4 linked regions of the Saccharomyces cerevisiae S288C genome follow. The gene in region 1 interacts genetically with each later gene. Each region holds a gene or a part of one and is shown in the gene's direction. Other genes may lie near its edges.

What was found.
Region 2: mutations in SEY1 (region 1) and USE1 impair growth when combined (synthetic growth defect), as found in Saccharomyces cerevisiae (4 studies listed by BioGRID, with this or other methods).
Region 3: mutations in SEY1 (region 1) and UBP3 together harm fitness more than expected from each alone (negative genetic interaction), as found in Saccharomyces cerevisiae (3 studies listed by BioGRID).
Region 4: mutations in SEY1 (region 1) and POM33 together harm fitness more than expected from each alone (negative genetic interaction), as found in Saccharomyces cerevisiae (3 studies listed by BioGRID).

The regions. Positions count from the first base shown.
Region 1 is NC_001147.6:642,658-647,416, forward strand, and holds SEY1 (dynamin-like GTPase SEY1), read left to right. Parts: upstream 1-1,908; coding exon 1,909-4,239; downstream 4,240-4,759. Other genes in the region: polyphosphatase DDP1, read left to right, coding at 84-650; protein GET4, read right to left, coding at 737-1,675; SWT1 (mRNA-processing endoribonuclease), read right to left, coding at 4,469-4,759. UniProt on the Saccharomyces cerevisiae protein: Cooperates with the reticulon proteins RTN1 and RTN2 and the tubule-shaping DP1 family protein YOP1 to generate and maintain the structure of the tubular endoplasmic reticulum network. Has GTPase activity, which is required for its function in ER organization.
Region 2 is NC_001139.9:315,726-318,634, forward strand, and holds USE1 (SNAP receptor USE1), read left to right. Parts: upstream 1-1,616; coding exon 1,617-2,354; downstream 2,355-2,909. Other genes in the region: ribosome biogenesis GTPase LSG1, read left to right, coding at 1-828. UniProt on the Saccharomyces cerevisiae protein: SNARE required for targeting and fusion of Golgi-derived retrograde transport vesicles with the ER.
Region 3 is NC_001137.3:469,163-474,218, reverse strand, and holds UBP3 (mRNA-binding ubiquitin-specific protease UBP3), read left to right. Parts: upstream 1-1,794; coding exon 1,795-4,533; downstream 4,534-5,056. Other genes in the region: PET122 (Pet122p), read left to right, coding at 1-178; YER152C (2-aminoadipate transaminase), read left to right, coding at 231-1,562. UniProt on the Saccharomyces cerevisiae protein: Has an ATP-independent isopeptidase activity, cleaving at the C-terminus of the ubiquitin moiety in natural or engineered linear fusion proteins, irrespective of their size or the presence of an N-terminal extension to ubiquitin.
Region 4 is NC_001144.5:97,497-100,869, reverse strand, and holds POM33 (nucleoporin POM33), read left to right. Parts: upstream 1-2,033; coding exon 2,034-2,873; downstream 2,874-3,373. Other genes in the region: HIF1 (Hif1p), read left to right, coding at 669-1,826. UniProt on the Saccharomyces cerevisiae protein: Contributes to proper distribution and/or efficient assembly of nuclear pores. Required for normal pore density in the daughter nucleus during telophase.

The DNA.
Region 1 (4,759 bases):
AGACATGAAATCACACTGAAATAACGCCTGAAAGGTCAGGAACAGTGAGTACGTAGGAGTATAAGAGCGTGGGGAAACACAAAATGGGCAAAACCGCGGATAATCATGGTCCAGTACGTTCTGAGACAGCACGTGAAGGAAGAGAAAACCAGGTTTACTCACCCGTTACAGGTGCAAGATTAGTTGCTGGCTGCATATGTTTAACACCCGACAAGAAGCAAGTTCTCATGATTACTTCTTCTGCACACAAGAAAAGATGGATTGTCCCCAAAGGTGGCGTTGAGAAAGACGAGCCTAATTACGAGACGACTGCCCAACGAGAAACTTGGGAGGAAGCTGGTTGCATAGGTAAAATTGTCGCCAATTTGGGTACAGTTGAAGACATGAGACCCCCTAAGGACTGGAACAAAGACATTAAGCAATTCGAGAACTCTCGAAAAGATTCAGAAGTAGCAAAGCACCCGCCAAGAACCGAATTTCATTTTTATGAATTAGAGATTGAAAATCTCCTTGATAAATTTCCGGAATGTCACAAAAGACATAGAAAGCTATACTCTTATACAGAAGCTAAACAAAACTTGATAGACGCCAAGAGGCCTGAATTGTTGGAGGCCCTTAATAGGTCTGCTATCATTAAAGACGACAAATAGCTAGCACATACATATATATGTATATACGTCATGGTCGTCAAGCCACCGCAAACATATTTATCTATTCCTTCGCAAATATGCTCTTTTCACTTCGATCCGCCCAGGAATCCCGACATCATGTCTTGTAGGAAATTCGTTTGTTTAGGAGCAACAATATTGAAATATTCCTGGCCCAAAAATTCTAACTCACTTTTGTAAGCTTGAGAAAAATCTAAATAATGGTTCTTTAAATTCAAGAAATAGCTCTTATCCTTAGTCTGACAGGTAATTAGCAACAATTGCAAAAAATTTAGGTCGGAATAATCTTCAAAAAAAACTATTTCATAACCATTTTTATCAATTTTCTCGTACTTGGGGTGAAATTTCTCAATAAATCTTTCCAAAAAAATGTCTTTTGATTCATGTGCAAATGATATGTTAGAGATGAATAAATAGTTGAAAACCAATCTGCTGAAGAACTCAGCCACCGTGCTATCTTCGATATCATCAACTTGGCATAACCAGTCCCATAGTAAATCGACATATTTGATCATTGAATCATGTGTACCTAACATAAAATATCTCTCAGCTTCATAAACGAAATCTCCCTCTAATAGTTTGCTACCAATGGTGTTGTGCAAGTAAGGATCTCCAAATTTGTATTCACTAAATTTGATAGACCAATTGTTCATACCAGTAATAACGTCCTTTAAATTGGGCTCGCTAGGATCCAATTCGGCTATTAATCTAACCAATCTAGCAACTGAGATGTCATCAACTTTAACTTCCGCTAAATCATAAACTTCTAAAAGATAGAAGATCAAATCCGTGCCTGAACCGCCCTGCTTCGCCTTTAAAAATGAAAGGGCCCCTTGACTAATTAGTTCTATGGCATGCTCGTATGATTTACTTCTAACATATCTATTAGCAATAGTTCTCAACGTTTGATGCGCTTCGTAATAATCTCCAGCTTTGATCTTATTTTCGAATCTTTGTAAGGTTTTAGCGAGTTTCGCTTGTACAGCATTAGATTCAGCAGGAACCATAGCTTGTTATTATTATTTATGTCCCTTTATGATGTTTACTTGGTTGTTTTACCGCACATGTTATTATTTCATTTTTTTGACTTTCCTTTCACTTTTTTTCCCATTGTTTGTTACCTTAACGAAGAGCGACAAAACGAACAAAATACTGAAAGGTGTATTTTGATGGTAAATAATTATTGACTTATTTCAACAAACGGGCTACTAACTCACTCGACGGTTGACATACTTTAGTCATGGCTGATAGACCTGCTATTCAGTTGATAGATGAAGAGAAGGAATTTCATCAAAGTGCATTACAATATTTTCAACAATGTATTGGAAATCGTGATGTTGGTCTAGATTACCATGTCATCTCAGTTTTCGGTTCTCAATCGAGTGGTAAATCGACTTTACTTAACGTCTTGTTTAACACCAACTTTGATACCATGGATGCTCAGGTGAAAAGGCAGCAGACTACTAAAGGCATTTGGTTGGCTCACACTAAACAGGTTAATACAACTATTGAAATCGATAATGATCGTCCAGATATTTTTGTGCTAGATGTTGAGGGCTCCGATGGTTCAGAAAGAGGTGAAGACCAAGATTTTGAGAGAAAAGCCGCTTTATTTGCCATTGCAGTATCTGAAGTTCTTATAGTTAATATGTGGGAGCAGCAAATTGGGCTATATCAAGGTAATAATATGGCTTTATTAAAAACAGTTTTTGAGGTCAACCTTTCCCTATTTGGCAAGAATGATAATGACCACAAGGTGCTGTTACTTTTTGTAATTAGAGATCATGTAGGTGTGACTCCACTCTCGAGTTTGAGTGATTCCGTTACGAGAGAATTGGAAAAAATATGGACAGAGTTAAGTAAACCTGCTGGTTGTGAGGGTTCTAGCCTGTATGATTATTTCGATTTAAAGTTTGTCGGGCTAGCTCATAAGTTGTTGCAAGAAGACAAATTTACCCAGGATGTCAAGAAATTAGGTGATTCGTTTGTGATGAAAGGTACGGAAAACTATTATTTCAAACCTCAATATCACCATAGGTTGCCATTAGATGGTTGGACTATGTACGCAGAAAATTGTTGGGATCAAATTGAACGTAACAAGGATTTAGATCTTCCAACTCAGCAAATTCTGGTTGCTAGATTTAAAACTGAAGAAATATCTAATGAAGCTCTAGAAGAGTTCATTTCAAAATATGATGAATCGATTGCTCCTTTAAAGGGTAACTTGGGATCTTTAACATCTCAGCTAGTGAAGCTAAAAGAAGAATGTCTGACAAAATATGATGAACAAGCATCGCGCTATGCAAGAAACGTTTATATGGAGAAACGAGAAGCTTTAAATACAAAGCTGAATTCACATATTTCAGGTACAATTAATGAGTTCTTGGAATCATTAATGGAAAAGTTATGGGACGATTTAAAATTGGAGGTGTCTTCTAGAGACAAAGCTACTACCTCTTTTGTAGAAAGTGTGGCGGCAGGTAAGAGTAAGATTGAGAAAGAATTTAACGAATCAATGGAGACCTTCAAAAAGTTAGGGCTACTAATATCAAACGAAGAGATTACCTGCAAATTTTCCGACGATATTGAAGAAAGAATCAAGCAACTACGTGATGCTGAATTGAAAGCAAAAATCGGTCGTATTAAAAAAAATCTGGTTCCCGAATTAAAGGATCATGTGATTCATTTACTATCACATCCATCCAAAAAGGTTTGGGATGATATAATGAACGATTTTGAATCTACTATCAAAGACAATATATCTGCGTATCAAGTGGAAAAAGATAAATATGATTTTAAAATTGGACTTTCAGAGAGCGAAAACGCGAAGATTTACAAAAATATTAGAATATTGGCGTGGAGAACCTTGGATACCACAGTACATGACTACCTGAAAATAGATACGATTGTTAGTATATTGAGAGACAGGTTTGAAGATGTATTCAGATATGATGCTGAAGGTTCTCCAAGATTGTGGAAAACAGAAGAAGAGATTGATGGGGCATTCCGTGTTGCAAAAGAACATGCCCTGGAAGTTTTTGAGGTTCTTTCACTTGCTGTAACCTCAGATAACGTTGAAATTATTCCTGATGTACCAATGGCTGAAGAGGAAAGCGGCGAGGACAACGAAATATATCGGGACAACGAAGGTGTGTTTCATTCCCGTCGTTTCGCACACATCTTGACTGAATTGCAAAAGGAGAATGTTTTAGATCAATTCCGCAGGCAGATTAACATTACTGTTCTGGATTCGAAAAGGTCTATCATCACTACTAGAACGCATATTCCACCTTGGATTTACGTTTTGCTAGCCGTATTAGGGTGGAACGAATTCGTGGCTGTCATAAGAAACCCCTTATTTGTAACCCTTACCTTGATCTTAGGTGCAACCTTTTTTGTTATTCATAAGTTCGGCCTCTGGGGCCCTGTTGTTAATGTTGTTCAAAGTGCAGTTGGTGAAACAAGAACTGCAATAAAGGATAAACTAAGGCAATTTGTCGTTGAAGATCATGAAGTGAAGGAATCTTTTGAAATGAAAGATTTCTCAAAAAACGAGCAAAAAGAAAAATGATATGAAAATATTTTTTGATCGAATAATTTATTTCAATTTACCGTGTTTACTTTTTTGTTATTATAGTTATTATTATAATTACTGTTCTCCTAACGTGTCTGTGTGTTTGTATATAACTATAGGGAACTATTTATATGACATTAAAAATATATGCAAATGCATATCGCAAGCTTATGAGTTGTGTGAGTGGCTTCAATAAATCTGATAGATTTACACTAAGCAAAACATTTCAGGTTGATATAGCATTGATAGATGTTTTCCATTCATGAATCTGTTTCTCTAAAGATTGTTTCTCCTCATTTGTGAATTTGCTGAATAAAAAATGCAATACAGTCTCCCAAAATTGTTCAAATGTTCTTAAGTCATTCAGATTTGTCGGTTTTGATTTCAAAACTGTTGGTAAGCTCTTCCACTCATTCTTCTTTATCTTTGAACAAGTGAAAAGTTCCGAAAATACAGACACCCAAAACAAATAAATGTAATTCGAAGCGTTTTCTATGGTAGTTAATTTATCTGGGTT
Region 2 (2,909 bases), on another chromosome or scaffold:
TCCACGCCTGGTAAAACAAAACACTTCCAAACTATTAAGTTATCTGATTCTGTCATGCTTTGTGACTGTCCCGGTCTTGTCTTCCCAAACTTTGCATATAACAAGGGTGAGCTCGTGTGTAATGGTGTTTTACCTATTGATCAATTACGTGATTATATTGGTCCAGCAGGTTTAGTAGCAGAAAGAATACCAAAGTATTACATTGAAGCGATTTATGGTATCCATATTCAAACCAAATCAAGGGATGAAGGTGGGAATGGGGATATACCAACTGCTCAAGAATTGTTAGTCGCATACGCCAGAGCTCGTGGTTATATGACTCAAGGTTACGGTTCTGCTGATGAACCAAGAGCAAGTCGTTATATATTGAAAGATTACGTCAATGGGAAATTACTGTATGTCAACCCTCCGCCCCATCTAGAGGATGATACACCTTACACTAGAGAAGAGTGTGAAGAATTTAACAAAGATTTATATGTGTTCGACAGATTACCGGACACCAGAAAGGAGCAAGTGCAAAATGCTGCTAAGGCTAAAGGCATTGATATCGTGGATTTAGCTCGTGATTTGAATCAGCTAACGTTTTCAGCTCACACTGGTGGTGACACACAAAAAGAAGCCAAATCTGTTACGCACGGTGGTAAACAAGCTGCATTGTACAATGCCGCTGAGGACTTGGATAGAGACTTCTTCAAGATGAACAACGTCGAAGGTAGATTAAGTACACCATTCCACAAAGTTCAAAATAGTTCAGCTGGTAAGAGACATAACAAAAAAAACAAAAGTAAAAATGCGAAAAGCAAAGTTTTTAGCATTGAAAATAATTAGCGGTAACTAACATATATCTTCTCAAAAAAACTGTGTACTATTATCTTTTCATCTCGCCAATTAATGACAGCGTTATTTGAGAATAGACCTAAGATAATAAAACTATGTTCGTTACCCGGACAAATTTTCTTGGAAGAATTTTTGAGTCCTAGAGATATTATAAAACGGCCCTCTATTAATTTGCTCTTTCTTTCCTCAGTTTAATTCTTCTTTCGAATAAAAAATAAAAATATCATGGCTCTTCAACACATTTCAACATGTTCAAGTAATTTGTGTTAGTGGATGACCATTTAGGGGCTGCTGGCCTGGTTACCGGGAGTTTTTCTTGGATCCAAGCTAGCTTTTCCGTCTGATTATCCTTAAGCTTCACAAATTACAATTTTTCCCACGCATTAAGAAATAAGCTCAAGATGCCTAAAATAAGTTCTATCCCGCCTTTTTTCGCTAACAATGACTGAGTATTCCCACAGTCTATAGTTTGATAGTAGATGGGCGGAAATTTTTCTCATATATTTACTTTTTATAGGAGAGTATATTTACGTACGTATAGTGATTGCATGTAGTTGCTCCCTATATCTTGTCATATGAGCGTGATACTGACCGATACCTGTTACAGATGTCGGTCTGGATTTGTTCGTTTTTCTTCCCTAAAGTAGGTCAGTATATATAAAATATGGCCGGAGGAAAGCTTCACCACTTTATCACCACTAAATTTATAAAGTAGAATACAATTTCAACATACACAGAGAATAAAAAAAGGTTGACAGGACACATAATAGCAAGGCAAGATGGCTGAAACTTCCAACGACCCCTTTCTGTCCTACGTTTTGAGTAGCAAACAATTAACTAATTTGAATCGTCTACGAAGGAAAGCAGTTACAAAACAACTGGGATCAAGTGACGACAATAAGGTCTCAGAGGAGTTTTTGAGGTATCAACATACTTATCAAAGAGAAGCATTTGAATATCTGCAAACAAAACATGACGCCCACAAAATAATGGAGTCACAGTACGAACAGTACCAAAGCAGTTCAAAAACAAGAAGATATAGTATCGATTTAGATTCTGTAGATGCAGTTGACACGGAATCGCAAACAGAATACCCAAATGAGGAGTTTATTGATAGAAACGAAGATAGCGAAGCTGTTATGGAGTTGAGAAAGAGATTGTTGGGGAAGGGACAGAATAAGGGTTTAGGATATGAAACTACGAAATCAGTCGATAGGCAAATTGAGGACCAGGACACGTTGCAACAGGATTTGATTCAGGATATGAGCAAACTTGTGGGCAGTTTGAAGCAAGGAGCTGTGGCATTTCAATCAGCACTTGATGAAGATAAGCAAGTTCTTGGAGCTGCAGAGATAGGTATTCAAGTTGCTTCTCAAGGTTTAATGGATGTTAGCGGTAAATTAAGGAAATATGACAAGAGTAAATTGAGTTACTTGTTTTATATTACTGTTTTCATTTTTATGATTCTCGGACTGGTGTTTACATTTATCATAATTCAATTATTCCCGGCCCTATAATGTAATTATAACGATGGAATGATGTTTTTTGGAAGAAAAATTCAACTGTTTATTAATATTTACGGCATTTTTTCATGTAGTTGAGATTATTCCTATTGAAAAAAGCAAATTGTGAGAAAAAAGTATACAATAAAATTTGTATAGGCTGCAGAATTCTCCTTTCCGTATAGTTGCCTACTTCCCGTCTCAAACTGAATCCTGCTATCTGATTGCTTTCTGTGTTGGTGCGGTGAATCTTTTTATACATATAATATTTGAAAAAGAATAAACATTTGAGAAAACAAAAGTAGCTAAACAAAACGACAAAATCATAACATTTCCTGATCTGACTGAAAGCTAATAGAACAGCAGTGTTCGATGAGGGTAAAATAAGGAGGGGTCTTCGGTTACGTTATACTAGTAAGTTGATTTTGATTTTAAGTCATATTATTGAACGCATTATGATGATACTCATAATGGACTAAATTTTTCTCATGTATAAGGTCCATAGTAGCCAAGTGCATTCCATTACAATGTTATTGATATTATCTGTGCTCTCAAATTCGGCTGAAGAAA
Region 3 (5,056 bases), on another chromosome or scaffold:
CCTAGTGATAAAGAACGAATGGTCACTACCGCTACTACTGGCTGGTGTCCTTTGGCATGTTCCCGGCCCAGCGCAGGCGCGACGTGTGCTGGCGGAGTTCCGTCAAAGTTATCGCGGGCTGCCGCTGCTGGATGCCGAACTAGTGATAAAGAGAAGAGGATTTGAAATCAACACATAAATCTGGGTGGAGCATCGCTGTAACAAGGAACAACGCGTGCTAGCAAGCGGTAATGAAATACAAGGAAATCAATTTCTTCAAGGGCCATCCGAGCTCGAGGTTGCTGCCTCGAGAAGCAGTAATTCAAGCGACTGCGGCTATATTGGGGCCCGAGACCAGGGAGTACGATAACGACCCCTATAACAGGCATCCGCTGACGTACGGTTCGGACGAAGGTGCCCTGTGGGTGCGAGAGCAGATTTGTACGTTTCTGAATGATCAGCTGTTTAAGTTCGAAAATGGGGCTCGGAGCAGGACACGGGCAGACTATTTGAATCTGAATAGCGGCGCTTCGTATGGCATGCTGAACATCCTTCTGCAAACAACCTTGCCACATAACGGGTATACCAGGCAGGCGTTCATCATCACGCCAACATATTTCTTGATCAACAATTGCTTCACAGATGCGGGATTCAAGGGGAAAATGACCGCCATCAACGAGCAGGGCCACGACTCGATTGATTTCGAGTCGTTGATTTCTGCCCTTGAGCAGCACGAGGCGGAGCCGCAGCCCCATAGTACCACAGAGATGATTCAGGGGCCAAAGTTGACCAAGAAGGTCTACAGGTACGTTATGTACTGCATCCCGACGTTTGCAAACCCATCGGGAAACACATACTCGCTTGAGACCAGACGCAGACTTATCGACATCGCTCGGAAGTACGACATGCTGATAATCACTGATGACGTGTACGATATTCTAGATTACACGACGCCCTCAGATGAGCTGCCCTCTCCGCCCCTAAGGATGGTGCACATAGACAGAAGTACAGCGCCCTCCGGTGAGGACTCGTTCGGGAATACAGTGTCCAACGCAACTTTCTCCAAGCTGATCGCCCCTGGGCTCAGATTTGGATACCATGAGTCAATCAACGCGAATCTCGCCAGACAGCTATCTAAAGGTGGTGCAAACGTCTCTGGCGGAACTCCCTCACAACTGAACTCCATGATCGTGGGTGAGATGCTGCGTAGTGGTGCCGCCCAGAGATGCATTGCACATCTGAGATCCGTATACTCCGAGAGGGCCACTGTCTTGACCTCGGCGCTTAAGAAATACATGCCCCTAGGAACCGAGATTATGCCATTGAAGGGCGGCTATTTTACTTGGATCACTCTCCCACCAGCGTACAATGCCATGGAGATATCCACTATTCTTGCCAAGAAATTTAATGTCATCCTTGCCGACGGCTCCAATTTCGAGGTCATCGGCGATGAGAAAAACTGGGGTCAGTCATGCTTTAGGCTTTCTATTAGTTTCTTAGAAGTTGATGATATCGACAGGGGCATTGAGCTGTTTGGTGCTGTTTGCAAATCTCATGCGATCACCAATAACATAACTATGTAGAAGGAATACGTATATAGGTGAACGGTAATAAGAGGGTAATTTTTCTACGGGCAAAGGCAAGGAAGAAAAAGAAAAAGAAGGAAAAAAATATAATGTGATAAAACAAACAAGCAGCGAAAAAGCGAAAGGGAAGAGAAGTGTTTCTAGAGAAGAAAGTCATTTTAATAGTAAGTCAGACTCGTCTGCTACCATCATCCAGGTACCGCTTTCCTTTCCATCATCATTAAAAAAAATGAACATGCAAGACGCTAACAAAGAAGAGTCGTACTCGATGTACCCGAAAACCTCTTCTCCACCACCACCTACGCCAACCAATATGCAGATTCCTATTTATCAAGCGCCTTTGCAGATGTACGGCTACACTCAGGCCCCATATCTATACCCCACACAAATACCTGCCTATTCGTTTAATATGGTCAACCAAAACCAGCCAATCTACCATCAAAGTGGCAGCCCACATCACTTGCCTCCGCAAAACAATATTAACGGCGGAAGCACTACCAATAACAACAACATTAACAAGAAGAAGTGGCACTCTAATGGCATTACCAATAACAATGGAAGCAGCGGTAATCAAGGCGCCAACTCTAGCGGTAGCGGCATGAGCTACAACAAATCCCACACCTACCATCACAATTACTCTAACAATCATATCCCCATGATGGCCTCTCCAAACAGTGGCAGCAATGCGGGCATGAAAAAACAGACCAACTCTTCCAACGGCAACGGTTCTTCGGCTACTTCACCATCGTACTCTTCCTACAACTCTTCTTCACAGTATGATTTATACAAGTTTGATGTCACTAAATTAAAGAATCTCAAGGAAAATTCATCAAACTTGATTCAATTGCCACTGTTCATAAACACTACGGAAGCAGAATTTGCTGCGGCAAGTGTCCAAAGGTACGAATTAAACATGAAGGCTTTGAACCTAAACTCTGAAAGCTTAGAGAACTCATCTGTAGAAAAGAGCTCTGCCCATCATCACACAAAAAGCCATAGTATACCAAAGCATAATGAGGAAGTAAAGACAGAAACACATGGGGAAGAAGAAGATGCTCATGATAAAAAACCACATGCGAGCAAAGATGCGCACGAGCTTAAAAAGAAAACTGAAGTAAAGAAAGAGGATGCTAAGCAAGACCGTAACGAAAAAGTTATACAGGAACCTCAAGCTACTGTTTTACCTGTAGTGGATAAGAAGGAACCAGAGGAATCTGTTGAAGAAAATACTTCCAAGACATCTTCACCTTCACCATCTCCTCCAGCAGCAAAATCCTGGTCCGCCATAGCATCAGATGCGATTAAAAGTAGACAAGCTAGTAACAAAACAGTCTCCGGATCGATGGTCACTAAAACACCAATTTCTGGTACGACCGCAGGCGTTTCATCAACAAACATGGCTGCGGCGACTATAGGTAAATCCAGCTCTCCCCTGTTGTCCAAGCAGCCTCAGAAAAAGGATAAAAAATACGTTCCACCTTCTACAAAGGGTATTGAGCCACTGGGTTCGATTGCGTTAAGAATGTGTTTTGATCCCGATTTCATTAGTTACGTTTTACGGAATAAAGATGTTGAAAACAAAATACCAGTCCATTCCATTATTCCAAGAGGCATAATTAACAGAGCCAACATTTGTTTTATGAGTTCTGTGTTACAAGTGTTACTCTACTGTAAGCCATTTATTGATGTAATTAACGTTCTCAGTACACGGAATACCAATTCAAGAGTCGGCACATCATCCTGTAAATTATTAGATGCTTGTTTGACTATGTATAAGCAATTCGATAAGGAAACCTATGAGAAAAAATTCCTAGAGAATGCTGATGATGCTGAAAAAACCACGGAAAGTGATGCAAAAAAATCATCAAAATCCAAGAGTTTCCAACACTGCGCCACTGCCGATGCTGTCAAACCTGACGAATTTTACAAAACTTTGTCTACTATACCGAAGTTCAAAGACTTGCAATGGGGCCATCAGGAAGACGCAGAAGAATTTTTGACCCACTTATTGGACCAATTACACGAGGAATTAATTTCTGCAATTGATGGCTTAACCGATAATGAAATTCAAAATATGCTGCAAAGTATTAATGATGAACAATTGAAAGTTTTCTTTATTAGAAATTTGTCACGTTATGGAAAAGCAGAGTTTATCAAAAATGCTAGTCCTAGACTGAAGGAGTTGATAGAAAAATATGGCGTGATCAATGATGACTCTACCGAAGAAAATGGTTGGCATGAAGTGAGCGGATCTAGCAAAAGAGGCAAGAAAACTAAGACCGCTGCCAAGAGGACTGTCGAGATTGTTCCATCACCAATCTCCAAACTTTTCGGTGGCCAGTTCAGATCTGTGTTAGATATACCGAACAATAAGGAATCTCAATCGATTACACTCGATCCGTTCCAAACAATTCAATTGGACATTTCAGATGCTGGTGTGAATGATCTAGAAACTGCATTCAAAAAATTTAGTGAATACGAATTGCTACCCTTTAAGTCCTCGTCAGGGAATGATGTCGAGGCCAAGAAGCAGACTTTTATTGATAAATTGCCGCAAGTTCTTTTAATCCAATTCAAAAGATTCTCATTCATAAATAATGTGAACAAAGACAACGCAATGACGAACTATAACGCGTACAATGGACGTATTGAGAAGATCAGGAAAAAAATTAAATATGGTCACGAGTTAATCATACCTGAAGAATCAATGTCTTCCATAACATTGAAAAACAACACCTCAGGGATTGATGATAGAAGATATAAGCTAACCGGAGTTATATACCATCATGGGGTAAGTTCCGATGGCGGTCATTACACAGCGGATGTTTATCATAGCGAGCACAACAAATGGTATAGAATAGATGATGTAAATATTACCGAACTAGAGGACGATGACGTTTTGAAAGGTGGCGAAGAAGCTTCTGATTCGAGGACTGCCTATATTTTAATGTATCAAAAGAGAAATTAAGACGGGGGGTGGTATTATAGACAAAATACATAAAAAATAATATAGCAATAATACAATACAATACAATACAATACGATAGTGAGCACGATTTTAAAAAAGAAATAGAGACAGACAGAGAAACAGAGTTACACTTTATGCTTGGCATATTTAAAAAATGATTTCGCCCAGGATCGAACTGGGGACGTTCTGCGTGTTAAGCAGATGCCATAACCGACTAGACCACGAAACCAATTATTTCTTGGAGATGAACATTTAAGAAACAAATACCTTGTAGAAGGAATGTGAATTTCAAAATATTATGGCCTTTGGCAACAATGGAATCACAACAATTATCACAAAACTCATACATCTCTTAAGATTCATTTCTTACTTTAAGTAATCATCCAAATTTAGCCAAAGTTTGATTTTACCTAAAAAAAGCAGAGGATTCCCGATTTCAATCATATGTGCACAGACGATGAGTCCAACACGTTATCGTTAACATAGTGCTCAATATTGCCACTGCGCTTCGCAGGAGCATATT
Region 4 (3,373 bases), on another chromosome or scaffold:
TTCGTCTCACGTGGTTTCTCAGCGTCTTTCACACGCTTCTGACCAAATTTATCTTACCGAACTATACGTAGCTATGTGTTGCTTTCTGCTGAAAGAACTCGATAATAGAATATTATTCTCAAAATACTTCAAAGTTTATTCTCATCGTTTCCAAAAACGCGTCACGCATCACCCGGCGCAGTATTTCTTCTTCCTTTTCCGCCATAAAAAGTCATAATAATAAGCCTATCTCAAGATTCTTATACTACTTTTAACAGTTTTATTGATAACTTACTTACGTTAGACCATCTTTTTTGTGCAAACCTTTGGTAAAAAAAAAGAACTGCGCTACCTTCTCCTAGTTTATGTATGGTACGGCAACTCATAGTTAGTTTTCTGTGCCCGTTTTAAGCACGACTTGAACTTACGTGATTATATGTATACAGTGCATGTTTTTATATAGAAAAATAAAAAAATGGGGTTACGTAGTCGAAGGATATAGCAGTGTCTAAAAACTTGCAAGAGCACTCGTAGCTCCCCGGCAGTGGAATCTTACCACTTCTCAGAGAATGTCGGAACGATATGTTACTGCACTGAAGTTTCGCGTTTTTTCCAATTTTGTATTATTTCATTCTACTCAATTTTGAGGTAACATCGGCGATGAGGTCTCCTTCTAGAAGTAACAGAATATGAAACTAAGGGCAGAAGACGTGTTGGCAAACGGAACTAGCAGACATAAAGTTCAAATTGATATGGAAAGACAGGTTCAAATTGCAAAAGATTTACTCGCACAGAAAAAGTTCTTAGAAGCTGCTAAACGCTGCCAACAAACTTTGGACTCTCTCCCAAAAGATGGTTTGTTGCCTGATCCTGAACTGTTTACTATATTCGCACAAGCTGTATACAACATGGAAGTACAGAATTCTGGTAATCTGTTTGGGGACGCTCTTCTGGCAGGTGACGATGGATCTGGGTCTGAGTCTGAGTCTGAGCCTGAGTCTGATGTGAGCAATGGAGAAGAGGGGAACGAGAACGGTCAAACAGAAATTCCTAATTCTAGGATGTTCCAATTCGACCAAGAAGAGGAAGACTTGACTGGTGATGTCGACAGTGGTGATAGTGAGGACAGTGGCGAAGGTAGCGAAGAAGAGGAAGAAAACGTGGAGAAAGAGGAAGAACGCTTAGCTTTGCACGAATTGGCTAACTTCAGTCCAGCGAATGAACATGACGATGAAATTGAAGACGTATCGCAACTTCGCAAGTCTGGTTTCCACATTTACTTTGAAAATGATCTGTATGAGAATGCTTTGGACCTACTGGCGCAGGCCTTGATGCTGTTGGGCCGCCCTACAGCAGATGGCCAATCTCTAACCGAGAACAGCAGATTGCGCATCGGTGATGTGTATATCCTGATGGGTGACATCGAAAGGGAGGCGGAGATGTTCAGTAGAGCCATTCATCATTACTTGAAGGCGCTTGGCTATTACAAGACCTTGAAACCCGCAGAACAAGTAACTGAGAAGGTGATACAAGCAGAATTTTTGGTGTGTGATGCTTTAAGGTGGGTTGATCAGGTGCCGGCTAAGGACAAACTAAAAAGATTCAAGCATGCCAAGGCTCTGCTTGAAAAACACATGACTACAAGACCCAAGGACAGCGAGTTACAGCAGGCAAGGCTCGCACAGATTCAAGACGATATTGATGAGGTGCAAGAAAATCAGCAGCACGGCTCCAAGAGGCCTCTTTCGCAGCCCACGACCTCCATCGGCTTCCCCGCCCTCGAAAAGCCCCTTGGTGACTTCAATGATCTCTCTCAACTGGTCAAGAAGAAGCCTAGAAGGCATTGATAGTTTTGTGTAAAATGTAGCAACCTACATACGTAATGTATATTTCTCCTTCTTTGGTACGGCGAAAGGGCCCCATTTTAAAAGGGTGAAAAAATATTTAAAGAGCAAGCAGACCATCCCTGAAATGACATACTTACTACATCTAAAAAAAGTCATTTTTCTCTATTCATAAGGAGCAAGAAACACTAGCCAAGAATAGTCAGTATAATGTCATCAAGACCCGCTAATAACCAAGGCCCCCCAAACCTCCCTGCCAGAGATAAGTCGCTCGTGCAAAGGTTCATGGCAGTAGCCAAGAGCTTGCAGTTTGCATGGTTTACCGGTCATTCCGTCGTATTGATCAGCTCCATTCTTTACCTGCTCAAGATGTCAGAATTTTATTACAGATCGGCATATCTCGGTGTCATCGAATCTTTCGGTATCATCATTTACCAGCAATTTTTCACCCGCAATGAACCATTGCAGACTCAAGATGCCGCTGCCACTAAGGCTTCCATAAAATCACGCGTTGCTGGACTCCTAAAGAGTGAAGACGTGCTTTATTTGGTTTTGGCCAACTTCTGGTTGTTCACTCCAAGATTTTCATTCAGCTTAATCCCATTTTTCGCGTTTGCTGTATTCCATGTTTTAATCTACGTTGAAAAAGTTCTCTTACCAAAAGTCTTCCACCTTTCCAGTAAAGATTCAAGTAAGATCCTCAGCTTCATCGACAAGTTTGTTGTTCAGTACAATGACTTGTGCATGCACTGGGTCGGTACTGCTGAGCTGCTTATTTTCATTTTGGTCCTTTTCAGAGCCATTCTGTGCTTCCAAAGGTCTTGGATCATACTTGTTGTGTACGCCATCTTTATTAAGTTAAGATACGAAAACTCCAAGTACATGAAAGCCGCCTTTGCTCAATGGAGAGTTAGAATGGACGGGATCATAAGCCACCCATCTATCCCACCATTCGTCAAAAGAGCTTATAATGCAATTAAAATGAGCTTGATCCGCTTGTCTGAGTACCGCTTAAGCGGTGCCCCACAAGTGACCAAGAAGCAGAATTGAGTTTTATTATTACTTTTTACAAGTTCAATACCTTCTAATTACTTTGTATAACATTCCACTCCTCTCTTTTGCTTTTTGTTACAATTTGTTATATATTTTTTATCAATTTTATATCTTTATTCCTTGAATTGAGTTACTCAACCAACCCTTTTACGGTCTCACAGTGGTGAATTGACTGCATGGCACTGCATTCTTACTCTCTCTTGGGCCCTTATTCGTAGTATTTCCGAAGCTTTTTTTTCCGAGAAGTTCTTCCGATTCACTTTCTCGAAGTTTTTTTCTAGAACATTCCATCGAAGATTTCGAAAAAAAAAGCTTCGAGGTTTTGACGAAATTTCATTCTTAAGCACTATGGGAAGGTGTGGACGAATTGTTATATATAAGCCGCAATTGGGCTGGGTTTTCTCCAAAAAATGTTGAAAATATAATACTCTCTTATTTAAGTTACTTCTATTCTTCAATTGATTAATTCCAACAGATCAAGCAGATTTTATACAGAA